Linked DNA regions of Struthio camelus. The protein of the gene in region 1 purifies or fractionates together with the protein of each later gene. This does not show direct contact. Links are inferred from orthologs where the notes say so. Each region holds a gene or a part of one and is shown in the gene's direction. Other genes may lie near its edges. The genes, in order: ESR2, NUP205, SRSF5 and MRPS9.

Region 1 (7,327 bases):
TCCCTAACAGAAGAAGAAAAGAGCAAGAGTATTAACACTTGGCACTAGTAACCAAAGTACTAGTGGCCACAGTCAAGGCCAGCTGGAGCCTGTTTTTACAGAACAGGGAACGTTGTAATGACTGCAGATAAGTGTCACAGAGGTAACCTAAAGAACCCCCTGCCAGCAACAGAAAGCACGAATGGACCACAAGGAAATGAATAAGAGAAGTTGCAGGATTGGTTAATAGGGATTAGACTATGATTGGGGGGGGGGGGGGAGGTTGCGATTGGGTTATAAGGGGATCAATACAAGCAAGAACTTGTGGGCAAGGTCCTTCTGTGGAGGCACCCAGCTTAAGCTGTACCTTTATTACGCACAACAAACTTTTTTTTTGGTTTAGAAAAATATTCAAAGTTGAATTGGGAGAATAAGCAGAAACTGAGGGTAGAGCCAAAATGGTTGGAGGTGGCAACTGCATAACTCCTTGAAGGTGGCAACTGCATAATGGCTGCAACACTAAGGACTCTCCCTTTCCATGTAACCATCTCTCTGATGTGCAGAGATCATAGCACTGGGGCGCAGCTGCCTACTAGAAGTTTGTTTTATTTTTAAGCTTGTCACCGCTTTGGAGCAGGGTCCTTTTTTTTTTTTTATTTTGTGCTTGTACAGCATCTGATACAATGGGTTCTTGCTCATATCTGGGGCTGCTCAGTGGCATAGGACTGTACTGCACCACGCAATTCACATTAGCTTAATAAATCCAAAGCGTGGTATCTTTGATGCATGCCTGAAACCTTCTAGGTAGGATCTAGAAAGCCATATCTCACAAATATGGGAGATTTTTCAGTTCACACTAGGCTCAGTTTGAGTTTCCAAAGCAGCTCCATAAAACTGTTCAATCCCACTCTGAAAAAGCTAGGTGTTGTCTCTACTGCACTGTTACCTCCAATTATAAGTTTAGCCTGGCCATCACTTCATCTAGTACTTCTTTTACCTCAAAGCAAGCACTAGGTGACCTACCCCTCAGGGCCGGGTGGCGTGTTCAGAGTTCTCCCTGCCATCACCATTTATCAGCCACTAATCCAGACCAGGACTGCTGATCCATTCCTGGTGCTATTCACCAATTCAAGCCAAACCCAAAGCTTTCAGTGCATGGGGCGTTTTCTAAACCTAGGCTGCTTTTGGGGAAATGACTGAACACACTGCTCACTGCAGCGGACCTAAGCTGCAAGAAAGAGCTACTCCGAAGCTTTGCTCTGAGCATCTATTTCAGATACAGAAACAGAGAGGTTTTATCATAAATAAAGAAGTTTGAGCATACTGCATGTTCATTTCTCCTAACCCTCCACGTTCTGTACACTTAAAGCACTGTCCTTCTCATTTGGATTAATTCATTATTTACTGTACTGTTACACAATAACTCATCCTTTGCAACTCATTTGCTCATGAGGAAAATTGTACTTGCAGCAAAATCGAAGGCTGAATTACTGAAAAGCTACTCAGAGATATTGTGAAAAGTCACTCAGAGATAACTACCCAGCTCTCAGTACCTTTTGCAGACTGTTCAGGTATTAGAGGCTGTTTCTACTGAAAGAAACGGCCTTAGCAAGAGACGCATTAACTTAAACATCAAAATCCTGCACACACAATAGTGGCCTGCCGTCCTGCATGCTGTCCTCCCCATGCACAGCTTACAACCATATTCACTAATCTCCCAGGTAATACTTAAAAAAGCAAACAAACAAAGAAAAACTGAATACGATGATTTTCTTTGGACCTTTTCTGAGCCCTTCAAGACTTTCTATGTACAAACTAGCCTTATGTTCTCAGCGAGTTTTCCTTATTTCCCTTATGTAGGGGTCTGCTACACAGGAACAAGGAAGCACACTCTCTCTCTCTCTCTGCTTCTCTTCTTCTCTCTTTCTCTCTGTCATACACAGACACACACACAATTTTTCCCTCTCTTTAAATACGTTTCACAAAAATAAGTATGTCAGTATCTACCTGATTTTTTTTTTTTTTTAATAACTGTCATGACTCCGAATTAGGAACTTCCTTCACCTCTCTTTGTGGAAGAGGTGCTTGGTGGCAGGAGAAGACAATACACAATACTTACCAGTTCTCATTTAAAATACACAGAGAAACCTAGAATTTTGCAGCTGGTACACTGCTGATAGATTCACCTCACCTGATAATATACGACCGACTTGCAAACAACCCCTTTTATTTGGTTAGAGGATAAAGTAACAGACAAAAATACTCTACAAGATAGTCACTGAATAAGCCATTCAGTTGACTATGAAGTCAGGAATATCCTCTTTATAACAGACAATTCAGTTGAAAATTCCTAGAAAAACCACACGCCTATCATTTTTTCTATTGACAGACTCTTGGCCTGTGGGTGCATTCTGGACAGTAAGAGTTCTCTGGATCACTATTTCTCTAGAGGATCTGGAAGAAAAAGATATCTGCAGGGTATATAGTCCCTTTCCTCATACCTCCTTGACGTACTCTACTGGCAAAAAGAAGAAATACTTAAGGCCCAGTTTTTGTAGAGCACACTATGATTTTGCTATACTGGACATAACCATAGTAGGAATAAATAAACTGAAGAACAACAGTTGTACAGTTGCAACTATTTTTCCATTTCTTATGGTCTTCAGGACTGGATGCCTCTGAGATATGTTTCAGGCAAACACTTCAACATTTCATTGGAAATGACATAATCCTTTCTCCTCTATGCACGTACTAAAAGCATGTGCCTTTTCCCAGGTATTGGCACATCACAAAAGTCCTAATCTCTGAAGACAGTTGCTAACGTAATTTAGAAAATAAGCAGCAGCAGAAGTGAAATATCTCCCCATTGTATCTATAAATGTTGAGAAAAAAAAAAAAAAGACAAAACACCATACTGCCAAGGAAGCTAGAAGTTTTACAGTGAATGCTCAGGCTATCTATAAAACATACTCATCCTACCTAAGTTGCTACCTTTCCTGATTTCTAGCCAGGCTAAAATTGCAATAACATGTACCTTGCGAGTGCCTACTGCACTTCAAGAGCAATTTCTATGCCAGAAGAAGCAAATCTGCAGAAGGCAAATCACTAAGCTCTACCAGTACCAGACACAGGGCAGGCAGGATTCACTGGCTTCAAGACTTCCCAGAAGCACGATGGTCCAACGAAGCACACAAGCCAGAGACGAAGCACACAAGCCAGAGACGGAAGTACCCAAGCCATCATTCTAGTAATTGGCTCAACAATTACAGGGTGAAAAAACACGTGAGCAGCCTTTAATCACGGATATTCAGATTCCAAACAGTTTAGGCCTAGTTTTTAGGAATGCTCCGCTGTCAGTCGGGGGTAGATGTGTTGTTCTCAGCAACGCCTAAAAGCAAGCCCTCCTTAACATTGTCCATGTTTTAAACATTGTCCGCGGATTAACTTATCTTGATTCAAAAAGGTGTGACCCACGCTTGCATAATATGAAAACAGAGACCTATCGAAACAAGTTCCCGACTCCTGCCCATAAAGGATCCTTAAAGCGCTGCACAAATACCTAAGGCTAGAAATCACTTCGCCGTTTCACCTCGCCGCAGGCCATCATCCATGCAGGCGCCCACCTCCGCGCCCAGGAGGATGCTGAGCCACCCCAAGGCCTTCCCCGGGGCGGGGGCTGCCGGGTGCCACAGAAAACCAAGCGGACGAGATAGGCCGAGCTTCTTCGGGGCCGGCGTGACAGCGTTTCAAACATTCCTGAAGATCCTCAAGAACACTACTGCTTCTCTCTAGGCTGCTTAATAACACCCACCGCTCCCCGCCAGGCAGCCCGCGCTGACCGCAGCGCACACCCTCGGCCGAGGCCTCCGCGGCCCCCTCCGCGGCCAGCGCCCGGGACCCCCGGCCCCGACCCGGGGCAACCGGCGCCTCCGGGCGGCTCCTTCTCCCTGACACACGGGTTTCCTCCACAAGCACCGCTCTCCCGAAGGAGAAGGGAAAACTCCCTCCGCACGCTGGCGGCGAGGGCAGCCCCGGCCTCTCCCTCCCCTCCCCGGGGCGCTGCGGCGGCTCTCGCAGCCCGTCGCCCCGCTACGTACGCGGAGACTATCTTGCCGCTGAGGATCTCGGCGGGGGCCATGGTGAGGGCGACGGCCGAGCGCGGCGGGGATCCCGGAGCGACTGCGGGCAGCGCTGGCCCCGCCGCGGCCCTACTCCGCGCCCCACGTGGCCACCAACTTTCGGCGCGGCCGCGCAAGCACCGCCCGCGGGGCGGCAGTACCGCCGTGCCGTGCCGTGCCCCTTCCCCTCCCCTTCCCCTTCCTTTCCTCTTCCCTTCCCCCTTCTCCTCCCTTCCTCGCCCCGCCGCCGTGAGGCGCCGGCCCGGCCGCCTCCCGCCGCTGGGCTGAGGAGCGCGGGCTCTGAGGCGCCGCGAAATGGCGGCCGCGCCGCGCTGCGCGCCCCTGCTGTGAGGAGAAGGGGCCTGGGCGGGACGTGGGGGCCGCAGGCGCTGTGAGAGGAGCGGGGAGGGTGGAAAAGCAGCCTCTGCCTCCGCTCGGGCGTTTCAACGCGTTTGTCCGGCAGAAGGTCACCCAGCTCGTCTAATCGGCACAGAAAGAGGGTAGCGGAGAGGGGGGTTTTGGCCCTAAGGTTCAGTGAGGTCTTTGCGGGTGGTAGAAATGAGCTCCCAGTGGCCTCTTCCGAGGGACGTGCCTGCAGTAAGTTATCCCCTTGGGACCGAGGAACATGTAGTTACCCATCCAGCTGGCTGCTCAGATGTGTGTGCTTCTCCATGCCTGCTGTTACTTCTATAACCAGTGCTTTTCCTTATTCTGCAGGTTAGTACAGACATTTTAGGACCTTGCTGAGAGAATGAACTTTCAGTGGTTTTCTCAAGCACACAGCAAACGTGTGGTGATGGTCAAGCCAGAGCTGGAGACGCGAAAAGCAGTCACATGTCACAGGTGAGGCAGGCTTGCCCAGGCAAAGTGAAGTCAGGACCCAGAGAAGTTGAGGAGCCCATCAGTTTTTACCACTAAGATCTAGCACACGGTCAGAGAAGGGGCCAGTATGCAAGAAACCCCGGCTAACAAGGTCAGGGACAGGGAACTCGCAAAGTGCCCCCCCGTAACTTAGATTTTTGCTTCATATAGGGCTTGGAAAAAGGAAGTTCATTCAGTCCTGCTGCAAGGTAATCATTTCACAAGTGGGTTTGGGAACTGTCAGGTTTTGAGAAGGGAGAAGTACAAGCCTCTCAGGCTCCCTCTGGGACACAAAGCTCTGAGATACACGTATGGGTCCTTCAGCCACAGAAGCTTTAGGATTGCTTGTCTGGGATTCTAGGAGGGGAATAAAATCCATACATAGTTCAAAACTTGTCTGAGGGTAAGGCTTTTCTCCTTTGATTTCCGTCCTTCCATAGCTATGGCTCTTTTGCCTTCCTCCCCCCCCCCCCCCCAGCTTTCATTTTAGCGAGGAGAGAACTCGCTGTCTGTTGAGCAGTCAAAGCATCTTAAGTTAACAATATGTTGCAATTATAAGACCAGAGGTTAGAAATTTCTCTTTAAAAGTGACATGGAAAAGAGGTAAAATTTTGCATTTTGGAGCTTTTATATGCTAAATAGAAAAAGCTAGAAAGAACTTCTTTCATTATATATTCCCTTTATTTCCCGGAGCATTCCAACAGTTGTAAAATTATACACTTAAAACTGAGATTAGACAATTAACTGAGAGAAGGGATTTTTTTCCTAGGCTGCTTAAAATTCTGTGCTTCGTTTGTTTTTGCTGTTGCCTTTATCTGAGCCCTGAATGAACTTTCGGGGGAAAAAAACCTATGTTTTTAGAAGAATTCAGAAGACACACTCCTTTGGTTCAGGACAGCAACAGCTTACAAAAACAAGCTTTGCCAACCAAGATTTGACACTTACAGTGCAAAAATATCAGGCAGGAGAAGAAAAAGAAGAAATCCATCTCGTTCGGATGACCTGATTTGCACAGTGAGCAGAAGCTGGTGCCATCAGGAGCTCTGGTTTCCTACCCAGAGTGGCTAGCTTGCATGATTTGTGTGTGCGTGTGTTTGTGAGTCTTATAGCATATGCTAGTTTTCTCAGTGTTCCAGCTCTTGAAAAAATGTGTTCAGGAGAAATTTTAGATAAAAAGGTAATTTTTTAGCTCTCACGGTGGCAGATAAAATTTTGAAAATGACCTGAATGTATTGTCTAAAAAATGAGAAGGGAAGTAAAAATAACCCTAAACAACTTCTTTTTCTTATTTCATGATTTTTAAGCCAGACTCATTTTTGGGAATGAATTTTAAATGCTTATGCCAGAAAATCAGACTTACTAAACTGCTTTTTATCATAGGAGAAATATCTTTTGTATTCCTAAATTTTCTCATTAGTCAGGCACGAAAGCTCAGATTGCTGCTCAGAAGTTGTGGGTGTCATGCCTTTATGTAAGAACACCTTCTTTAATGTTTAATCTTGATTGTCATCCTGAGGTCAAAATACTAGGAATGGGATGGGACCCTCCCCATGGAAGAGGGATTGGGTGATGAGAAATGGCTGAACAGACCCCTCTGCTCAATTCATGTCAAAGCTGTATCCAGCTCATAAATGGCAGCAGAAAATTTGGGGCTACTATCATGTAAAGGAAATCGCAAGGAAGCACAGTGGCAAAGGAGACAAATGTTGTGAAAATATGTAAAAAGTCGAGAGCGATGATCACTGTTTTATGCTTTGAATACACTTCTTTTGACCATGTTAACACAAAAGGGTGAGGAAAAAACCAAAAACCTAATGCCATGATAAGAACGGAGAGCTCTGAGTGGTCTGTGTTGTACCAAAGCAGACTTATCCTCTAAAGGCTGTTTGTTAGGATGAAGAAGGATAAAAGCAGCCGCTTCAGGGGAACGTGAAGCTGCAGGATTTCTGAGATGTCTCTGCTCTGAGCGCTGCCCCAGGACAGTTGTTCTACTTCCCTCACCTCCCAGGCATCCTTGGGTTTGCAGCTCCCACAGTATGACTGTTTACCTTTACATCCACCCCCCTCTTACCTAACATGTCAAAAGTCATGAAGGTTGCTCTTTAAAAAAACCATGAAGCCTGCAGAATCCACGCCAGAAAGACTCTCTGTTACTGGTGAGCTAACAGCTGAGCCTGTGATTGCACAGAGCCCCAGAAGGTGCAATTTGTTCTGAGGAACTGACCTTTTATCAGCAAACTAAGGAAGAACGTTAGAGTGTGCTTTACCCACCAAGTAGAACAGTTAGGACAGGGCATCTTTCTATCCCAGCTTGCTCACTTCCAATAAAGGAGGAGGAACAGAAAAGTAATTAGCTTCATGAACCTGGG
Region 2 (7,764 bases), on another chromosome or scaffold:
TAATAAGGCAAGTGCATAATACAGCCTGCAGAGTCTATACAACTGGCATAACATGCTTTGGAAAGAGCTCCATGTGACTTTCAGAACTCAGCCTGAAGTTGTGGGACTGACAACTAGCAAAAACATCAACCATCTGTAAACCTGATATGGAAATCACTGAACAGAATGAATATCAATAAGGCAGCTGATGTGCCAACACTGCTACTTACTAGATCAAATATCTCCACTTTGCTTGTACATTGTCTTTCCACCGTTTTCCCTGTTGCACTTTTTTCCAACTCTTGTTAATTATTGGCAGTTACATTGCTACAATAATCAGATTATCTCCCAGGCTAGTAGCTGCCTCATTCCTTTCAGAAGCTGAATGAAGAAATTATTAGAAAAGAGAAGCTGAAATCTATTCTTAACTCTCAGATAGAGAACAAAGGAAAAAAAGACAGATAGGTCTAAGGACCCCAAAGCAAGAATTAGGAAAAAGTTAATTACCCGCGTGGTTCACAAAACAGCATGCAGCAATTTTACCTCTGCAGCCTGAACAGAGATCAGGGTCCAGAGACCCAGGAAAATTACTGTTTATCAAGACATTCATTTATGATCAGATACCTAAGGTCAGTAATTGTCCTAAATGACATGAGAAGGACAGCACTTGTTCACCATTGTTCACCTCCTCTCTGTCCATTCCCAGATCCTGAGGAAGGTATTCATATAACTGGGAGCACATTTAGCTCTTTGTTGCCTTGAACTAGATAAACTACTTATCCAAGCTAGCAACAACCTCACACAGTTTCTCTGATGAGCTTAGATACCATGGTGACAGCAGAAATATCTAGGATGGAAAACAGAGAAATTGCAAAGTTATTTTTTTGAGAATCACTGCAGGGAAAGGTCTTATACTTTGATTCTTCTAAGATTTGACACCAAGCTAACTTGATGTACAAAACGCACCTTTTTTTTTTTTTTTTGCAATAAAGACAGGATTACAGCCAGCTAAGTAGTTTTCTGGGAAATTAGCCTGCACAGTGACAGAACTCAGAGTTTTTACTCAGCCGAGTTAACATAACTAAAAAGCACATTCTTCCCCCCCCCCCTTTCAGATAGGGTCGGGGGTTAAAGATCCAGTTGATCAGCATTCCAGGCCTACTGTGAAGTGTTATACCCATTTTTACAGACGAGTAAGCTGAGAGGCACAGTGTTAGTTTCAGTCAACATGAGAGCTCAAAGAAGTTTTATTGTTTAATCAGTTGCCAGAAATGCTTTCCATTTTTTTGAGTAAAGAAGCATATTTCACAATGTAAAGGCTAGTCTGTATTTATGTAGAAGCACTTCTACAAGGCATCTTTTTCAGCTACAATGCAGAAAAGCTTTTTAATTTTCATTCTACTCCATCGGGCAGGCTATGATCACAGTGACACTCAAGATTAAAGGTAGGAAATTAAGGATGGCCTCCTAGGCATTACAGTAATGCACTTTTTATTACTAATAATTGTTCTTCCTAATCATAATAGAATGTAAAGAAAAGAAATTACAGGATCTTCATTGTTATCTCCGTATCTTCATGTGTGACTTGGCCATGAAACATAACGACTAAATTTAGTGTTATTAAAAATAATAATGCTACATTTGTATTACATCACAAAGCACCTAGAATCTCTAGCCAAAGATCAGGTTTTCATTCTGCAGCTCATTTTGATTATTACCAGCAATTATTTCCACCTGCAGAAAATAACATCTCTTATATGAAGATCTCACACAGCACAAGCAGGAACACTACCCTATAGGCAGACTATGACCTCCTGTCTCTGGAATTCAGAGGAATTAATATCCATCTCAGGTATTTAGCGTCAGCCTACCTTTGATACTTAACAGATTTCAATTTCCTAATTAAGGACGAAAGAGGCATGCATCCCTCACTGAACCCAGCAGTATTGGAGAACTTCCTGAGAACTACTGTTAGGAAGAGGAATGTGGTATTCTTTCCCTATGTAGTGTCTTGGCAAAAATAGTCTACCAAACCAGCCAGTTATCCTGGATAAACAATAAAATCCTAAATTAAAGGACAGCAAATAAAGCAAGAATAAGCCAGCATTACTATTCATGGACTTGCCTACTCACCAAGGCACGGACGAATGCAGTTAGGCCAACAGAAATGTTTACAGCGTATGGTATGGTATGGTTTATCTAGACACCCTTCTTTCTTCATCCGTACTAGGAGCTGTACTGCCACAACTGTTCTGCGGCAAGCTGTTTTTTTAGAAAATCATGTTGCCAACAGAGAGACTGGGAATAAAAAATGTTATGTAGCTGGAGCTAAATGTGGTATTTTTCTTCTGACGTTCAGCTGCCCAGTGATCTACCCCATACTATCTTCTACTTCCATTTTTATTTTTTTCTCGATGCTGCTCTGTCACTGTTGGCCAATTGGCAAAGACAAGAAAGAACTATCTGGAAATTTAAAATATTAAATTTGCAGTGGTTAGACCGGATTTTTTCCTCCAACAGAGATTTAAAAAAAAAAAGTGTGTGCAAGCTGGATCCAACTGAATGCCAAAAGAAATATGACAGCTCTTAATGCCTGGGAAATGCTTTTTTAAAGAATTGATTCATTTTTTTTTTTAAATTTTGTTTCTTAAGGAAATCAAGCTTAGGAAACTGCGCTCTTTGTCTGCCCAACTTTTCCAGTAACTTCTGAACCTGTTGCCCAGTTCCAACTTAATCTGATCAGAGGCTAAAGGGCTTCAAAAATGTATGTCCTCACAAGTTTCATGAAAATCAGGGAACAACTAAAGGAAAAAGAGCTAAATTAGGATCCCCGTGGATGGAAAGGCTGAAGCAAAACTTCAAGCTGCCCATGAGGTTTGCCCTCGCCAGGTGATCAGCACACGTGTCTTTGAATTTACTGTAATGCATGCTTACTCTTTCTCTCTCATGGTCCAAGCATTTGGGCAAAACAGGAGCAGAGCTGGGGCTGTGCAATGACCAGGGTACAGAAGAAGATACAGAGATGCCGTATACAAGTCTGTAGGAACCCAGGCTGTGTTAGTCCTACTGCTTGTGGAATAACCTGCTTGTTTTCTACTTTCACCTCGTGCCTAGCACCATTTCTTTCCTAGAATCAGACAATTCACTATTTATCATCTTCTAACTCCTCATTGTGCTACGCCCGCACTGGCTAATGGCTAAGACCAGGAAAAGGGAAATCTCAAGGAAACATAAGCCCTTTGACTAAATGAACAAATGAGGCCAACTTGATGAGAACTCATTCATCCTTTGAACTCTAAAAGAACCTGTTCTTGACAGGACAGACTTTTTTTTTTCCTCTAATTTTCTTCCCGTTCTCTCTCCTCTTTCTTTTCTGACTAATCCTTGTGAAGCTACTTCTCTGGTTTTGGTCTCTCGAAACTGTCTTGCCAATTCGCTCTCACTCCAGGGCCTCTGCTCTCTCTATATTACCCCTCTGCTATCCCATTATACTGAAGATCTAGCGAGGCAAAGATATTTATTTTGCCAATTTCCCGTAGGTCTAGTTCATTGGACCCTCTTTTGCAACTGCTGAAATATGGTTTTAATAAAGTTCAAGAGGGAAAACTACTGGCACTAAAAGGAATATATACTTTTAGTGGAACCTTTTATCTTAGAGGTAATACAGGAGGGAATTTCTGGAGGTGACTTGAGATTACTACTGGCATAGCACATGTAAATTGACTTCAGATATAGGAGACTTCTTAGATACTAATATTCATTCTTTAGCTCCAGACGCATGTACAAACGTCCTTTTAGTTTCTTTTCTTCATCCTCGGTATTTTTTTTTTCTTGTGCATACCTTGAGTTTAAATGCAGCTTTCTCCTCTGTATATTCCCTCTGAGGGCTGTTTTTTTCCTATACAAGATTGTAAACCCTAGCTCACTATGAAAGACCAATAAATATATGACTTTTAAATGCCACGCACCTGCTCACAGAGTTGAGCAAAAACTTACGGTTTACTACTTATCAGTGAATAGGGCTGTTTTAGTTATCTGCATTTTAAATAAGGATCATCTGCCATAAAAATGACTTACAAATGATTTACTTCATTTTTTTTAGAGATATCAGTCTGATGCTACAGAAAATGAAACCATTCAGGTTGTGGTGGTGGGGGGGGAGGAAAAGAACAGTAGTGTATTTTTGTAATTGAAAAAAAAAAAAAAAGGAACAGGTTTAATAAATTTACCTGCTGGTGCAATATCTGCCTTCAGACATTCTGCCTTATTTAATGAACAACACGGCTTACGCGGCGGGGCAGGAAAGGCTCCCTTCGACCTGACCGGCATAAAGGGTGGGGGAAAAGAAACACCCGCCGGGGCAGGAGGGACATCCCGCCGGCGGCGGCGGCGGCCGAGCGCGGGGCTGCCTCCCGGGCTGTCACCCACCCGCTTCCCGCTCCCTTCCCGGTAGTCGCCTGGAAAGCGCGTTAACCCCAATCCGGAGCGGACGGACACACAGAAGCGGCAAATCCGGAACAGGAAAAAAAAAAAAAAACCACCACAAAAAAAAACAAACCCAAAACTCCCCGCCCCGTCCCTGACTACAAGTCCCAGCAGGCGCTGCCGCCGCCGCCGCAGGACCCTCGGCTGTCGGGCCGGCGGCGCTCGCTCGCTCGCTCGGCGGCGGCTCAGGGAAGAAGCGAGGCTGCGGGAGCAGCTGCGGGAGTCGTCGCCCCATCCGGCGCGGGTGGAGCGGAGCGGGACGGGGCGGGTGGCGCTGCCGCGGCGGCGGCGGCGGCGGGGGAGGCAGCGCGGCGGGCGCCTCGGCGGGCTGACGGGCCCGGGGCCGGCGCCGCCTGCGCGCCTCGCTGCTCTCCAAGATGGCGGCGCCGTTGGCGGTAAATTCGGGTAAGAGGCGGCGGGCGCGGGGCCGCGGCGGCTCCTCCGCCTCGCCCGCGGCTCCTCTCGGTCTTCCCCGTCGCCTAGGGGGTCCGCGGCGGCTCCCCGCTGCCCCGCGGGGCCGGGAGCGGCGCGGGCGGCGCCCCGGAGGGAGGCGAGGCGGGCCGGGCCGAGCAGGGTGGCTTTGGGGGTCGGGCGGCCGCTGCCAGCGGAGGAGGAGAGGCTCGGCGTAGGCCCTCTCCTCTGCGGCGGGTAACCGGCGGCGGCCAGGCCTTTCGGGTGGCTGGCGGCGGAGCGAAGTCCTGCGCTTCGGAGGTGCCGCCTCGCTCGGCTGAGAGCGGGAGCGGGGGCCCATCAAGTCAGTAAACGTGGGCGGCAACGGCAAGCTTCGCTCGGAGCGGTCTGTGATAGCGTAACGCGTGCGCCTTTCTGTGTAGCTCTGTGCCTCGCAAACAAAGCCAAGATTGTCTTAACGCTGTGCGCAATAAAGTACGAAAAAAAGAAGCGCATGTTGAATTTTGCTCGGTGCTACCCCGAGCAGTCTAGAAACGTTGCGCTGGTTCATCTTGTGCTCGGCGTTGCTAGCGCTCGGGAGCAGCAGGATGACTTAGTTGACCTGAAAGTTGGCCGCAAGGAGCGGTTGTGACTGACTGAGGCGGTGCTTAACAGTGTAACTGGGGGATTTGGCTAAAATGGGAGGGAAAGTGGATAAATGGAGAATAATTTAGGTTGAAAGAGCTCTGTGGAGGTTATGTGGTCCAAACAGTTTGAAACAGGACCCACTCAGTCAGGTTGCTCAGGGGCTTGTCCAGGCTAGTTTTGAGCATTTGTAAGGCTGGAGATCTCCTAGCCTCTCTGGGCCTCAGTTGCAGTATTTTCCCTCTTCTCTTAGTGGTTTCACTTTTTTTCTCAATAGCTGCTTGGAATTTCCTGTGTTGCAGCTTGTGTTTGTTGCCGCTCATCTCCTGAGGCGCCTGAGTCTCCCATCTTCCTTACTCACCCATTAACTAGCTGAGAGACAAAAACTCCCCTCACCCTTTTAGCCATTTTTTCTTAAGACTGAACAAGGCCAGTTCTTTCAGCCTCTACTGATACGGGGTGTTCTTCAGCCCCCTATTTCAGTATCTTTCTTGCTCTGGGGAGTCAGAAATTGGACCCAGTACTGGAGTGATGTACTCTCAGAGTTGCCTGACAGTGGCAAATAATCGTTTCCCTAGACCTGCTCCCTGTCATTTTGTTCATGCAGCTCAGTGTGTCAACGCCTTTTTTGCTGCAAGGGTGTGCTGCTGAGTAGTGCTCAGCTTCTCATCTTCTAGGACGTGCAGGTGCTTTTCTGCAAAGTTGCTTTCTAGCCAGTTGGCCCCAGCTTTATTGTTGCATGGAGTTATTCTCTCTCAGATGCAGGACTTTGCATTTGCTTTTGCTGAACTTTGTATTTGTTATCCCTATATTAATCTAACATAGTGAAGAAGCAGTCATGAGTGGAACATGGATGGGGCCAAAAGGTCTGTTAACTAAGGTGTTGTATGGCACAGTGAGCTAATTCAGCTATCAAGTTTTAAAAGCTCAACTTCTGTACCAAATAAAGAGTAATTTGTTGCAGGGAAGGTATTTTGATCCAACTGAATCGGTTACCCCCTCACAAAAAGAAAAAGGAATAAAGTAAACCCCCCCCCCTCTATTTGGGGGCGGGGGAAGGGTGATTATGGCTGTGTTTCTCAATACATGAAATGTGGGTGTTTAATTTCATTTGACCTATTGCAATTTTCATTTTGACTTTGCTGTAGAAAATACATGGCAAGAGATTCTGTAGCGATACAGTTTAAAGAAGAATGAGGGAAGAGGTGGCAGCTGTTATACATGGAAGATGAGATAAAAGTTAAAGTAGATATGACACTAGAACTGATGGAGATGTTGCCTTGGTTTACAGTTTCCTGTTTGCGGGGACAAGCATAACGTGGTTAAGTCTATAGTTTGGCAAAAACTTCAAGCATAAGCATAAACTGGCATTGCTTCCCAAAGCAGCAACTCAGCTTGTCCTTCCTTGCTGTTCGCTTGTCAGTCCTTTTAAAACTGTAATCGTTCCAACGTCATAAGTGGCAAAAGTCAGCATGGTTGCTAAAAGAAATGCAGTGATCCAACCTTTCTTCCATCCCCAGTTGCTCGTTCCTTTCTCTGCAATACTCCATCCTTGTGGTAGCCTAGCGGTTTGTGCCATCACAGCGCAAACCAGATTGGAGAGGTGATCCTACTGAAAATAAACTCTCTTCTGGAATAGTTTTCAGTTAGACTTGATCTTTAATTTGTTCTAGTGCATGACAGTACAAGTATTTGGGCTAGCGCAAAGCAATTGCATTGTAGGCACAAGAGCAAAAGCTGGGGCAGGGAAGCAGTTGAACAGCTTTTGGCAGGCAGCATGGATTGCTGCTGGTGTTCGTTGGACTATATAGTCTAATAGGAGTGATGGTTGGAAAAGACTATTTAGGGTAGAAGTCAATCTCTGGACTTTGTAGTTGGTTCTCCCACTTTTAACTTCAATCTGGAATGTGAAATTGTTTGTCCAGTAGTAACTATTTTTAATGAATTTATCCGGGCGGGGGTAACATTGTATGATTAAAATGCTGCTTAATGATGTTTTAAAAGGACAAGGACCTGTCTTTTTTGCAGACTGTTCTCCCAGATACAACTCCACTGGCAGATTTTATAGTATAGTAAATGCTAGCATGTGAGATGCTAGTTTTGCTGGTGCTAGGTTTGGGGTGAGAGGGTTTTTTGTTTTGCTTTTAGTCCTATTTTACCTGATGTCTTCCTCCTTTTGCAACAGAACAAAATTGGCGAAGTTCTGCAGAGTTTGTTACTGCTTCCAAGGTTGCTTAGGTAGTGGTAAAACTGACTGAAACCAGT
Region 3 (7,967 bases), about 30 Mb from region 1:
AACAAACAGATGGTAGGAAGGAGTGGGAGGCAGCTAGGGGAGTGTCCACATAGTCAAGCAGAGTGATACTTATTTTTTTCATCAGCAGTATTGCACGTAAGTCTAAGATCCAGAAAAACGGAGGGACGCTCACAGACGAGTGATGAAACGATCAGAGGCTAGGAGGACTTACAAGAAAAGATTAAGAGCGCTAAATATGTATACCTTGCCTAAGCAGGGACAACTCAGGAAGGTTTATATAACCATCCAAAGGGAACAGTCGCCTGGGAGAAAAAGGGAGTCTCTAGGCTAGTTCGAGGGGCCGTAACTCAGTGTAACAGGAGGAATTTTGAAAAGCAAATATGGGTTAAAAAGAAAAAGCTTTCCTCGTGAAAGGAGGAAAGGGAGCAAGGGAAGCCCGGCCTCTCAATTTCTCTGTATGTCAAGGGAGGGAAAGGGTTATGCTTTAAAAAAGGCAGGAGGTAGTGGCTGGGAGACTAGGAAAAAACTGAATGCTGAACTGGCCTGCCAGCTTTTTGTCTTCCTGTTTTCTGTTCCCAGACAGAACATGCTTACTAGGAAGAACAACCTGTGCGGGCCGGTAATCCTAAGCGCCATTTGATGTTTGAGTCTGACAGTGGTAACAGAAGAAAACTCTTCTGCCTGGTGGGATGTATGTTTGTGCTGGGAATTAGCAGCTGAAGACATCGGAGGGTCACATAGCAGAATCGGATCCCTGGCAAAGCTGATAATGACACGTAATGATGCGGCTTTATTTAATGCATCATTCACTGTACTAGCCATCTCAGGGGGTTTGTATGAGAGATGGCTTGGCTATTTCAGGGCAGCAGAAATGATGCCAAAGAGAAAGCAGATCTGCACAATCATGTCTTTTGTTCCTGGCAGATGCACAGTCTGGATGTTGTCGTAGGTGAACGCTTAACTCTAGACCAATAGATGTAGTATATTACTGGGGTGAAGAAAAAGTAGAAAATGTGTCTTCCCCCAACGTGTTCAGTCTTCCTAAAACAATGTAAACGTTAAGTTTTCTGACCGTTCTGTTCATGAGCAAAGCTCAAAAAGTGTCTGAACAAAAAATTTATTTTCCCTAAAAGGGACAGTCTCAACTCAACGCTGAAAAAGTAATAGAATCATTGATCTGAATGCAGAATTTGGGAAGGTAGCTGCTCCATCATTACGTCATATCTTAAACATGTAGACAGTTCTCAGTTGGAGATGATGCCGATTCCTGCACCAAGCAAAGAGGTGTTTTGGACCAAGAATGGTGGAAGGAGCAAAGATAAGGCTAACAAATAATTTACCGGCAGGAACTGGAAACCAGCATTTCTAGCCTTGTCTTCTGAAGCTTCCCAACAATCGCAGGATGCCTGAATCTGCAGTTGTTTTCTAAGATGGAACAGGAAAACCCTGCCCCTTTCTGACACTGCAAGGAGCAGCCGCCTCTCTGGCAGGCCCAGTATATGGTGCCTGCAAGCCCGGGGCAGGCAGTGCAAGTGTTTCTGGTGAAGGGTAGTAGTGAAGTAGTGAAGGCAGTAGCTGTGCTGTTTCCTTGTAATGGGCCTTATGCCCTAGCTCGGGGCCAGAGGAACTCCCATCTGTTAGGCTAAAAGTTTGTTAACTTCTGGCACCAGATTGACAGGATGGTGGGTGATTAACTAAAAATATCAGATCCAGATAGATTGCTCCCCTGAACCCGGCTCTGTGACAACCATCCCCTCAGTGGCCTGTTTAGGTGAGGGAGAGAGGAGGCAATACTGGAGACATTTGTGACATTGGGTTACTGCTATTTTGGAGCCTGGCACGCGCACAGCAGCTCACTGCACACTGATGTCAGGGCTCTGAGTTTAAACTTCGTGTGAGCTGACCTTTGCACCCTAGCATAGGCCTTTAAAATCTGCGTAGAAGGTAGCACTGCTCAGTCAAAGCTGGATGCTTAGGAGATGCATGTAAAATCTTCCTCCGACCCTTTTACCAGACCAGCAGGCAAACCAAGGCCTGCAGTTGGACTCTCTGGGCTGTACCACCTCAACTGGTATATCTGCTGGTGTAAATTATTTCCTGGTTGCTGTACATGAGGGTGCCTTGTAGCACCAAATACCAGGTGTGCTGATGGAGCACATCTTGCAGAAAGCGCTGCTGTCTGGTGATACGATGAGCCTGTTCTACTGAATCTTATCTTTCGTTTAAACAACGTTTCCAGTGTTTGTGGCTACAAGGGAAACGTTACAAGTGTGAGTTGTTGTCTTCCTGAGGGCTTAGATGGCTATTGTTTTGGGCTAGGGGGAGTGTGCGTTACAGTGCCCTTCCTGGTTACGCTAGCTCCGCGCTGTTATGTCTATTACATAGGTTGCAGGAAGGTTTAAAGCTCAGTGGCCCAGTGTCATGCAGTGGCATGGTTCCTAGCAGGAAAAGCGCCTCGACCACATAGCACTTTGGAGTTAAATGAGCTGTTGTGGATTCGGTAGTGTGGATACTGGTGAGTAGAAACCTCCTGGACTGAGTCTTCCACTGAATTGACTGTAGTATCAAGTCATATTTATAGCAATACCATGTATTCCTGTATCTTTAAGCAATATGAAAAGAAAGACCTCTTTATTGGTATATGGATTTCCAAAGAGTTACAATGCTTTAATCGCATCTTTTCCAAAATGAATATTGTGGCATAAAAATTCTGTATGTGCTAGGCATTAATTCCTGGATGGTTAAATAGTAGATAAAATTGGAGCTTGCGTTGTTTTCTAGCACGATCTATCAGAAGGTTGAAGGAACCAGGATGTCATTATGTGTGTGTGTGTGTGTGTGTGTATACATATATGTACATATATATAAAACAAGTTTTATCCTTTCCGCTTTGTGCTTACATGTGTAATGTGACAGCATTAGTATAGCTAATTTAAAAGGGCTGTCGTGATTACCACTTAATGAGTTTGTCTGATTTGTGCAAGTTTATTGGTTTAATGTTGTGTTTGCTTAGTGTAACTTTTATATAAAAATAACAGACTAAACTATCTTTAAAATAATAAACTAAACTATCTTTAGTGATGGGACATGCACCATCTTCTCCAGACTAGAAAAGCATGTGAAAACTCGGAGCAAAGCATTGCAGGTGATATAAAGATGAAAAGACTTTTGCAGCATTGATAATACACTCCAGCCTTCTGCAAGGGTTTGACCTCTGTTTCTTAAAGATATCACAAAGCCCCATATACCCCAGTCTTGTCATACCTGGAGGGTACTGCAAAATCCACAGCTTTGTGTGAGGATTTGCTTGTTTGTTTTTTTTCTTCCGGTGGTGGGGGGTTTTTCGTTTTTTTAGATAATCACTTTTCGTGAACTGTGCGGCGCCAAATGTGTGTTTGAGCAGTTACTGTGCCACAAGAAAATTGAGGTCCTTCTTGAAGCTTTGCATCAGAAGGTAGTGCTTGGTGAAGCATCAGCCCTTTCCATCATTATATCATTAAGCAGACGATTTCTCATCCCTTAGATATCATACTTCCTGTTGTCACATCCCAGAATATTTTTTTTCTGTTTCTACAACAGCACTGTACTTGTTTACTTATTTCTAGATGGTAATCCACTTTAGTTCCCAGCCATTACACACATTACTACTACCTGAAATGGGTATTTCCAATTTTGTATTGGTGGATTAGACTTCTCCTTCCTAAACATAGTTTGCCCTTAATCTTGCAGAATTTCATCTTGTTGAATCATTCTTTCCATTTGTCAGACTCATTTTGAATTCTCTTCTTGTCTTCCGAGTATTTGACACTCTTCCCAGGCTGATTCATCTGCATGTTTTAACACTGTATGCTCTATTCTGCTAAACAAATTATTAATGCAGGCGTGCTAAGAAGATATCCCTGATTCCACAAAGGAATTGTTCCCAAGTTTGTCAATGGACTACTTTGAATGCAAACACTGAAAAGGGTGTGTTTCTAGCTTCCAGTGAATTTTATCCTGACATTTCCCTGCTTGCTTAAGAAGGAACCACGTGGCATATCACTAAAATCCTATTACAGCCAAGTTTAACACATCTGTGCTTTTTCCTCTTGCCTGCTAGCTCTGTTATTCCAAGACAGAAAGGAAATAGATTGATTTGAAACAACTTGCTCTTGATTGTGTGTCATGTTGGCATGAGCAGCCTTTCAGTTTATAGACTGAAAATATTTACAAAATGATTATTTGACCTTTTGTTCCATTGCTTTTCTGGTCTTTTAGGTTTAGCTTGCCAGTGTAAAATTCTCTGCTCCTCTGGGAAGTAGGGTATTCAGGATGATGCCAGAGATTTTTCAATGACGGTTTGTCAGTTGCTTCAATGAGTTTCCTAAGGATATTGCAAGTGCTGTCTACTTGAGTACACGTAAACTTTATCCTATTCTTTCCCTACTGTGGCCTACACCCTTCTTAAAATGAATACGGGGTCTCAGCTAAGCAAGAGGTGAAGATGACATGACATATCCAGTCTTTGCAATCTGCTCTCTTGCTAAAAACAAAAATTCTTGCTGGTGTTCGTAACTGGGGCTGTGTAAACAAAGAAAGAGATGGTTTGCCAAATCAAAGATGTGGTATGAACCGAGTTGCTTGGAATTGTAATGGCAGAGCATGGTGACAAGCAGCAGCAGTGTCACAGGCTGCATTTGGGGGTACATCTAATGTTGGGTTAATACACAAAGGAGCTTAGGAGGCCTTCAGGAAATGGCTATGGGCTAGCTGAGGAACAGCTGCACACGATCCTGCAGAAGCTCTCCAGTTACCCTCCGAAAGTTTGCAGACAACTCCGACCCAGTAAAGCGTTTTTGTAGTGGTGCACAACTTGCTCTCACGGGGTCATGCGATTTCCTCACGACTTCTTCAGTGTCTCAACCTAAACATACTGATCCAGTGTAAACTTGTTCTGATTATTCAAATATCAACCCAGGGAGGAAAAAAAAATCTTTTTTTTTTTTTTTTTTACTTTGTACCTGCAAGTATCATGTTGGCCCCGATATCATGTGTCCTTCTGCAGCTGGCATAAATTCAGCATAAAAACATGAAGCTAACCTAAACCCTACTGCATGCACTAGATGATGTCAGAAACATGACAGTGTGTAATGTTGTATTAGCATTAAATCTCTATTGCTATGTGATCTGATAATGCACAATTCTGCTGCTAATGAGCCTTAATTGCCTCATACGGTGGCAAACTGCAGGGACAGAGGCAGTGAATTCTCCAGATCCTAGCAAAGGGGATGTGGTGGGTTCCTGACTCAGCTGCCTTTCTTCTGAGCCACAGCCACTAGCCTAGTCCCAAGTAACAAATGCACACCAACTACAAGTGGCAGGTCTGCAACTTCAGTGATGAGCTACAGATCCATGTGTTAGCGTAAGCTACCTCAGGGACTAGTTGACTGCTGCTGCAGAGCTATAGTCAATAGGATGCTAATTATTATGTTTGGCTGGGAAAGACAGGTGTGAGGAACTGCGTCTAAGCGATTCTAGTATAAGCCAGCTGCAACTAGGTAGGTGAAGCAGTGAGAATCAATTTGAACTGTAGTAGAGTAACCCTCAGTCAGGCTCTCTAACTCTAACTGACTGCCGAATAACACAGGCCTGTGGCAGTAACTTTCTCACTGAATTAGAGTCTACTGAGTTCATCTTAGTGCAAAATGTGTGCTACAGCTAGATATATTTATAGCTGGTGGATAAGGACTCTTAGCATGACACTAACATCTATTTGGTTAGGAGCCACTTGACAGGTTTAGCTTTCCTGAAAAGCGTGTACAAAGAAAAATGGAGTAACCCAGGGAAAAATTTATTTCTAAATGTCTGTTATTCTTTTCTTTCTACCTCAATTTTCATTTTCCTTCTCCAAAGATTTTGAAAAAAGCATTTGGGGCTTAAAGGTGAAATTCTCCCTGTTTAGTTTTATGCCATCTTTCTGACACTTGTAAAAAGTAGCTCTAGAGCCTTTGTTGCTGCTACCTCTCAGAGAGCTACACTTGATCGATCGGTAACAGAAATGTGTTTATTCACAGAGCTTTGGAAAAAAGGGACAGAGAACAGACAAATAAGCGAATGGGGAAGAAGAAAGTAAAGAAAGGTCGGAGGAGAGCAAAATGGGGAAACACAGTGAAAGCAGTAATGAATATGCTCACTGGTAGGAGAATAGGATGCTAACAAACATTTCTGCTTCTGTTCACAGAACCATTGCGGAAGCTGGCCGTGTGCCAAGTATGTCTTTGGTTATGTGGCTTAAACAAGCAGCTTCCCTTGGGATCTGAGGGGCAGTAATTTCTGCAGATGGTCTTCAACAGCTGAAGGTAGTCTCTCTGAATGGGAGTCCCTCTTTTTTTCCTCTCTCCTCCCTTTTTTTCTGTTCCCTCCTTCCCCCTGGTTTATAGCTGTCTGTAGGGTGAAACCATATACCCAGAGCATCCTCCAGAAAGTTATTCCAAAGGTATACTACCAGTTGGTGAAGAACCACTTCCTTTCAGGTGGTTTGACCCTGCATCTTACCAGCTTCTTGTGACGACTTCTAATTCTTGTACTGAAAGAGTCAGTGAACAGTAAATCCTCATCCACTGTCTTTATGCCTTTCCTGACTTTGTAGATCACCAAATCTGTCCCCACTCCTCATTCAGGAAGGATATGCATTCATGGCCTTCTGCTTTAAGTAAACAGTAACAATGGCACAGCCCAGCCAGCAGTGGTCAAGAATTGCGCAACCCAAATATCCCCTCTGATTTGCCTTCTAGTTCCCATGAGCAAGTGAACAAGCTAGGATTTCATTCTGGCTTTTCACTTAGTCTCCCACCGCCTTGTCCCCTTTTTGCTTTCAAATAGTCATGTAGGGTAGAGTATATATACAGGCCTCTAGTAAGGAAGCAATAGTCAGCCTTGAGCCTATTACAGAAGACAGGACATCTTAATTTCAGATAGCCAAATGTATATTCCCTTGCCATTTAACCGATGTTTGATTGTGTAGATTAAGACTGTGAACTACTTTATGGACTAGTGTCATCAGAGGTTAGGCGGCCTTGTCAAATAGTAACGACAGTATTTCACCAGTAACCTTGATGAATTAACTAGACGGCTTTCAGCCTGCTTGTGTGGAGAAATGTAGGTGTTCTGCACGTTTACTAGATTAGCCAGCAGCTAGAGTGATGAAAAGTCCCATGTGGTCAAAAAATGGCCTGCAAACTGCAAAGGGAGAAATATTCCTTCATGTTAACACAGAACATGGAGAAACTGGGTGGAAACAGATCTGTCTGTTAACGGCCCTTGCGTGGAAACCCCATGTGAGTAAAAAAGTGCTAGATCTTCATGTGGTAACACCTCTGGGTGGCATGGAAACCTTTCAACAAGTGATCGTTGCCTCCTGGATCCCCTCCTGACTTTTGCTTCCCTGCTCCCAATGGTCTGAAAATGGATGAAGAAAGAGGAGGTTACTGGCTTGCAGTAACAAAGACAATGCTTTTAGGCTGCAGTTTCACGCTGCTAAAAATGAACTAACAGCTGTTTCTTAATAGGGTGCTGCTGCTCCTTCCTCTCTTCTCTGTGCCAGCACTTGTTTTGATCCCACTGCAAGCTGATTTTCAGGGAGTCAAAGCAACAAATCTGCTTGCTGCCTTTTTCAGAGCTAGTTTTCACTTGTTTACCTCTGTGAACTGGCTCTCTCTCCAGTCAGAAGAGATGCAGTGTTGGCAGGATCAGGACTGCCTGCCTGTTCCGGTGTTACCTGTTAGAACGGTGTAGCTCGTTGTGAAATCACTGCTGTTACATTTTAGATGGCACACCGGAACGTATCTTTCTCATCAGGTAAGGGTTATGATCCACGTGGATTATCACAAGCGTTGTCTTTTATTGCCAAAATTCTTTCTTCTGCTACACATTCTCCTATGTGTGAATCATCTTTCCTTTTCTCACAGAGCCAGATGTCACACAAAACGCAAGTATATATCTTTGTAATCAAAGAGAAAAGCTAGTGA
Region 4 (6,905 bases), on another chromosome or scaffold:
TTTAATTCTCCTATTACATTTTTCTGTCTTCTGGAGTCCCTTTCTCTCTGCTGCAGGTTAGCTTACTCCATTGCACGACAGCAGATCCTGCTACATCCTCTATGAAAGCTTCCCCTTTTCTCCCCACCTTCAGGTCATCACAGATCAGAAGATGGTATCAGGGAAGCATCTCCATATATCTGTTCTGCCTCTTTGCTCTTCCATAAGTATCTGATATTGCCCATTGCTACACTCAAGCCAAGAGGCTCAACAGAGCTTTGGTCTAACCCAGCACTGCCATTCTTGTAATATCAGGGCTGCATTTATGCTGCCATAAGCTGAAACTCAGTACGCTTTTTGACCCTGCTCCATACATCTCTGTCACTGCTACAGGGATACCTGTTCCTCAAGTAAGTGGTATTCACACTAGCTATATCAGTCACCAGAACTCAGGCTACAAATCTACAAATACTACCTCTGACTACGAAACGACTCCCCGAAGCTCACTCCAAGACGGCCTACACGTAGGCTGGCAATGTGAGCAGTCGGCAAATTTGAACTGAAGCACAGCCCTGAGTTTGCGCTCAGCATATAACTACGGACATCCTCCTCAGGCTATCCCCTTACCCATGCACATGCCAAGCTCATCCTGGTTTCCTTTTATGTATTTAGTGATTTTTTATTTCAAATTTCTCATGGCCAGCACACAGAAGCACCAGTTTTCTTAGTGTCAAACCGTCCTTGAAAGATAGCACTCCAAAGCTCTTATTACCCCAAATGATGTGCTCGTTATCTAGTCTAAAAATAAAAGCCAGCAACGTGCTGCAGGCAGCAGCTCCCAGTTATGTGACTGTGTAGAGTACGATTAGCAAGTTACATGACTATGTGGGTAATAAGGTTCACAACATGAACGAGTTCCAGGAGTTGAACATTGCCCAGCTAGGTTCAAAAGGATATTCCTGCCACGCAGGAGGCTAATGATGTGCAGAGGGCTAAGCCAAGTATCAAGATAGTTTGCATGGATTAGGTAAGCATCTACAGTCTGTCAACTAAATACAGAGATGGAAAGAGAAGCGTTTGGAATTAATCTTGGGATAAGTAGATTAGACATGGTTTTTCTGTATTTTCTCCCTCCCTCTGCCTTAATAAACTTCTGAGAGAGGGCTGGGGAAGCAGGGGCTTGAGCATGTAAATAACTTCCATGCACTTTTATCTTAGCCTGGCTTGTGCTAAAAAGTGATTTCTAATTTGCAAACACAGACTCATTCCTGCAGGAGTGGCAATTCTTCCACTAGAAAGAATCCTTCTGGAACACACTAACAGTGTGTTCCAGACATACACTGTCAATAACATGACAGCACATTTTCATCAAAGCATGCCAAAGAATAACTACACTCAGCTGTATTTAGCTATATGCCCAATCTAGAAACTGGTAAACCAGGCATTGCTGTAGAAGAAATCTTCCAGGGCCAAGTATTACCCACGTAAACTTCTTGACAGCAGCAGGATGGTTGGGAAATGTACCTGAATCCAAGGATTTGTAGGAAACTTCTATCAAAATCTTTCATCTTGAATGGGTAGCCATAAATTTATAAGAACTAATCACTCTAAAGATTCAGAAAAGACAAAATATGGCCATTATCATTGAACACTAGACTCCAGATATACTGAGGTCTCCTTTCATTCAGCAATTTTTAAGGACAATTTTATATTCATAAAATATTTGTATTATTCATATTATTTCATACTGAAACCATTGGCTGTATATAGACTCCAAACATCATTGAAAATGTGGTCTAGACTACAGTAACATTTAGTTTTATTTCACAGTGGCCACTGGTGTAGATGGAGTCTTAGGGAATGCGGGGAGTTGGATTTATATCAAGTGGTTTCGAAACACCTGTGGCCAATGCATGTATAAGGTGGCCCTGCTACTCAAATTTAATTAACAGCTTATCATGTCTGGAGAAAGAAAACAGTTAATTCCCATGGCACATTGTTTCTATATTGCTGCCAGTAGTAACAGGTAACAATTGCTTAGCATAGTGAGGACTGAGGAACTCCTCAGCTGCTGAACAAAGCCAAGCAATGAGGCAACAGATGGTAGACTCACCACAGTCCTTGAAAAGGCTGTGCTATCCACAGCTTTCTGTACCCCTTCAGCTCTGCCGGCTACTCCAGGAGGTGGGTCACCGGGACTGTTAACCCTAACCTAACCTCCTTTTCTCCCCTTTTGGAAGAAACAGCTGCTAACCAAACACAATCGCTACACAGTGTGTTAATGGAAATATGGCGACAATTCCCAGTCCTTGGTCAGGTGAGCATAAAACAGAGCTATTTTGCCTCTTTCACTCAGTGCAGAATTCATACCATTCACTGATTTGTATCCATGTCAATAAAAATACTGATGGTTTCATTTTCACAGTTGGTGACCATAAACAGGGCTTTCCAGACAGCTTTTCCTTGACCTCCCCGCATGGGTGGATTCCCTTGTCCATTTCTGGTTTTCTTATACCTTCTTTTACATCCTAGGAAGGAAATCATACTCACAGTTGAATGGAAGGAAGCAAGAGCCACCAGTGAACAGGCTGAAAAAAACAAAGTGGAAAAGCAAGAGATTCATCTGCAGAATTTCCTGTCAAATAACAAGTGCTCCTAAAGATATGGCCTGATAAGTCTGAAGTAGAACAAACTTTAAAAAGAAAAGAAAGTTTTAGTTCATTTCCAGACACTTTTTTGTGATATAAAATACTATTGCCAAAATCTGATCACCTGTAAAGGTATATACTACATAACTCTGTGAAACAATAAACCGTCTCAAATCCTGAAGGTTCAGGATGTAGATTAACGTCACCTTGGGAGGCAACAGTATTGATCCCAAAACCCAATTTGGCAAGAGACAACTGTGATTAACAGAATATGTATTTGTATATGGAAAAAAAAAAAAAAAAAGCAAGGCTAGGCTGAAATATACTTTGTGCTTCAACTCTCAAGAGTAGCAGGTTTGCACCAGGTATGCTACAATTGACAACACTACCGACTTTAAAAAGACACCTTCTTTTTAGCTTTATTCCTTAGACTGGAAGTTCACTGGGGCAGAGTCAATTTTATGTAAGTATGCCTGACGGCTACTGCTGATTTGGTCCCCAGTCCTACCATAATACAAATAACACACCATAATTTTAAAGACCAGGCAGAGTTCTAACAATGCTAATGTGCTTTACTTGTCAAATACATTTCAAGTTTCAATACATAGATATGCATAAGCCAAATATTCAACAAAAACAAGAGCCTAGGTAAAAATCTAGTTCCGGGGCCTTAAAACTAGAAAAACACAGTTTATCATTTTTGTTTGGAGAATGGAAGTTAACTACACCACCTGTTTTACCACTGCTTTAAGTAACTACACTCGGTATCACCTTCAACAGGGTAATTTTTTTAAAAAGAAAAAAAACCGCTATCTCCCCCTTCGCTGAGACTGAAAGCAAATGAAGCCCTCTATGGTTGGAATGTCAGCACACTAGGGGCGGCACCTGCACGCCCGCGCAAGCCCCTGGCCTTCACCTTAAAATCTAAACGCGGGTTACAAAATTGAGCGGGCTCTGCCGTCGTTTACGGAGCGAAAATAGCCACTGGCACTGACTGAGGCGCTATAGGGCCAGGACCGCCGCCGAGCTCAGCACGGCCCTCCACCCTCGCCCCAGATGGGGTCGGGCCGCATGGCGGCAACCCTCAGCCGCGCTCAGGAGCGGCCCCGAGGTGCTGGGACACAGCACGACAAACTCCTGCCGTTAACGGCCGCTCTGCCGCGGCACAGCACGGAAGACACCCACCCGCCACAGCGCGCAGGCGCGCGGCAGGCCCCGCCCCCCAGCCAATCAGCGGCGCTCAGGCCCGTCGCCGACGGCTGCGGCGCTGTGCCTTCTCCCCGGCGGCCTGCGCGGGGTGCCGCGGGCATGGCGACGGTAGCGGCCGTTGGGCGCGTGCTGCGTCTGGGCGGCCGTTGGAGCGCGGCGGCGCGGGACGGGCCGCGCGCGCAGGTGAGAGGCGGGCCGGGCCGAGCACCTGGGCCCTACTTCGAGAAACCGGCTCCTTCGTGCTGTCTGCCCCCGCTCCGGGCCCTGGCGGGGGTGGGGAGCTGGCTTGTTGGGCCCGGGCTGCGGCAGCTCGCTCTCCCCTTCACACGGGGATGAGGGCAGGGCTGCCGAGACGAAGCGGGGGGAGGCGAGCCCGGTGCGGCGGGCGCGGGCCGGGCGGGAGCGGCCTGGCGAGGCGCCGCCGCGGGTTCGCGTCCCCGGCGCGGCTGGGCGGGGGCGGGGCGGCAGCGCCGAGCGCCTGGCGGGCACGGTGGGGTGGGGTGGGGGGGTGTTCCCCTAGACGGGGTGACACCGCTCTTCTCTCGGAGTGCCCCCTCCCAGTGGGGCAGCTGTCGGTCCGCAGTGGTGCCGAGTTTTTGTACTGCTCTCTGTCTCTGCGTGGCTTGGTTCAGCGGTGGCATTGTAGGGCATGGGCGGTTGGTGTAAACGGGGTTTAAACAGTTAGGAGCGTGCACAGAATTTGCGTTGGTTTAATGGGTGCGAGGATTTACAGTGTGGTTGCTGGCCTGCTATAGCTGTCTGCCCATATGCTTGCTTCTCGCACCAAAGTGAGGCGTTTGTGTCTCAGTAAGAGCGGGCCAAACTAAAACTTGTGTGCTTTCACCTCCCAGTAACTCATGAAATGTATTTACTGGGAAGAAAAGACATACTGTAAATACACATGTAAGTGTTTAGCACAGCTTTAAGCCAGCCACTTTAAAGTCAGTCCTACAGTTAACCTACTTATTTTTTCTTAATATTTCTATGTAGTTAGGGCCTGTTTTTATGTATGTTACTAGAATTAGGAAAGCTAATGTATAGAGCAAGGCCCTAAACATGTGTAAAAGTACTTTTGATTTTCCTGAATAAACAATAATTTTTAAGGTTGACTGTCTTGAATCGTGTTTGGTCAGCAGATAGCTAGATAATGCAATTTCCTGATTCCTGCAATGGAGAGAGAAATGTTTTGCACAGATGCAGCAGTTTCTCACTGAAGAGAATTATCTGCTTATTTTGAGAGACACCAGTCCTCAACAGAGTACCAATTCATTAAATAGCTTAACTGCTGTCAGTGTTGAAGTGATAATTGTGTCTGTGGTATTTGATATACCTATATATATTTAATTCAGTGATCAAAAAATGGATATAAAGGCAAGCTGGTAACATTTTGAAGTTACAAGGAAATTTAGGATAGTAAGGGCTGAAGAACTTTTCAGTGACTGACTATGGGGTAACAGAAGATAGGTCTGTTAGGTATGCGAAAGGTAATACTGGAAGGAGCAAATTGAACTATTTACTTTTTTTTTTCCTCCTTTTCTCCTCTAATATTAGATTTAACCCATTCAGGATAAAGACCTGGTGTCCATGTGAGTAGTTTCTTATGCAGCCGTCAGAAATTCACATGCTGAAGTTGTATGAGGAATGAAAAAGAGAATAAGGTTGAAAATGTAATGCTTGATGTAGTTTTCAATTTAAGCATCTTGTTTGGCTTTGGTTATCCTCTATCAAAGATAGGATTATGGCAGTAACTTAGTTTTCCTGGTCAGACCCCTGCTTGAATTTGAGCTGAAATCTTTTTCTATCATAATTGAGGAAACAGTATCAAAGCAGGTCTCGAAGAGGCCTTGAGAGATCATTCGTCTGCTTCTTCCATCCCCAAAAGGCAGGATCTATACTTAAGCCTGTAGCTATGTATGAATCTTCCTATTTTGTACGGTCTGTGAATTAAAGATATGAAAGGAACTAATGGGAGGCAGGGCCCAGGAAACTGACAGATATTTTTTTCATGTGAAATGCAGTTGACCTGTGGAACTGTTGTAAGGATGTTGTGGATGCCAATCACTTATGTGAGTACAAAAAAAATCAAACTCAATAAAATTCAATTGAGGACTCCTAAATTAAAAGATACCAGCATGTCTTTGAACTGAAGATTGTTGGAGACCAGGGAAGTGTCCTGGATAAACATCGCTACTTGTTTGTCCTGTCTTTGTGGCTGTTGTTGAGGACAAGGTACTAAGCTGACACACCTCTTTGACCTGCTGTGACCATTGCTTATGTTAAGTGCCTACCTGTCCTTCTTTATGATGCGTATCCTAAATATCCCTTGCTGGAATTTAACTCATTACTTCTCATCCATCTTAATGTGGAAAATAGTTTAATTTCTTGTTGACTTTTCCTGTGTTTGAAAACTTCTTGTATTGAGAGAGGAAATGGAAGAGAAACTCTGTAATTCAGTTTCCTCAGCTACGACTAAACAATAGGTCTTGTGTCCTATCCTTCTAATAAGCAAAGCACAATTAGACATCTAGCCCAATTTATAAAGAAAATAAATGATCTAACTCGGTTACTGTCTGTCATTTGTGTTGTGATTGCGTAGCATTCTTCTCATATGGTTCTCTGAAATCTTCTGCTGAGCTATTGCATTTGGCTGGGTCTGCTCCCTTATCTAAATCACTGTGGATGGTATATGTGCTGAGATCAGAAGGGTAGTACCACTTGTCACTGCTGACAGTATACCACCGGTATACCACAACTATATGCTTGGAAGTAGCTTTTTTGCCGTTGGTAACTAAACTAGAGTTGAAAAGCCTGTTAGTATTTCATAACTTGTGCCTCAAAACAACCAGATCTAAATCCTATTCCCCATTATGCAAGCCTGATGCTTGAAATGTGTCTCTGTGTTTAGAGCTATCTCATATTTCCATAGCATACAGTATAAACGAAACCTGAAATATTGGGTTTGGTTCAGTGTGCACGGAAAGTAGACTTTCTGTGTGGGAGAATACTAGCTTTGCAATTACCTCTCAGGAAATCGTTCAATTTGAGTAAAAGTTCCTTCTAATGAAATAC

The links.
Region 2: the proteins of ESR2 (region 1) and NUP205 purify together in Homo sapiens (affinity purification with mass spectrometry; 3 studies listed by BioGRID and IntAct, with this or other methods). This does not show direct contact. The link is inferred for Struthio camelus from reciprocal best matches to the Homo sapiens genes ESR2 and NUP205.
Region 3: the proteins of ESR2 (region 1) and SRSF5 purify together in Homo sapiens (affinity purification with mass spectrometry; 3 studies listed by BioGRID and IntAct, with this or other methods). This does not show direct contact. The link is inferred for Struthio camelus from reciprocal best matches to the Homo sapiens genes ESR2 and SRSF5.
Region 4: the proteins of ESR2 (region 1) and MRPS9 purify together in Homo sapiens (affinity purification with mass spectrometry; 3 studies listed by BioGRID and IntAct, with this or other methods). This does not show direct contact. The link is inferred for Struthio camelus from reciprocal best matches to the Homo sapiens genes ESR2 and MRPS9.

Annotation. Positions count from the first base shown.
Region 1 is NC_090946.1:75,455,640-75,462,966, forward strand, and holds the start of ESR2 (estrogen receptor beta), read left to right. Parts: upstream 1-4,306; 5' UTR 4,307-4,444; intron 4,445-4,814; 5' UTR 4,815-4,940; intron 4,941-7,327. Other genes in the region: MTHFD1 (C-1-tetrahydrofolate synthase, cytoplasmic), read right to left, coding at 4,077-4,117.
Region 2 is NC_090942.1:54,541,920-54,549,683, reverse strand, and holds the start of NUP205 (nuclear pore complex protein Nup205), read left to right. Parts: upstream 1-4,751; 5' UTR 4,752-4,841; coding exon 4,842-4,869; intron 4,870-7,764. UniProt on the Homo sapiens protein: Plays a role in the nuclear pore complex (NPC) assembly and/or maintenance. May anchor NUP62 and other nucleoporins, but not NUP153 and TPR, to the NPC.
Region 3 is NC_090946.1:45,282,560-45,290,526, reverse strand, and holds the start of SRSF5 (serine/arginine-rich splicing factor 5), read left to right. Parts: upstream 1-4,957; 5' UTR 4,958-7,967. UniProt on the Homo sapiens protein: Plays a role in constitutive splicing and can modulate the selection of alternative splice sites.
Region 4 is NC_090942.1:154,010,380-154,017,284, forward strand, and holds the start of MRPS9 (small ribosomal subunit protein uS9m), read left to right. Parts: upstream 1-3,886; 5' UTR 3,887-3,935; coding exon 3,936-4,019; intron 4,020-5,854; coding exon 5,855-5,902; intron 5,903-6,905.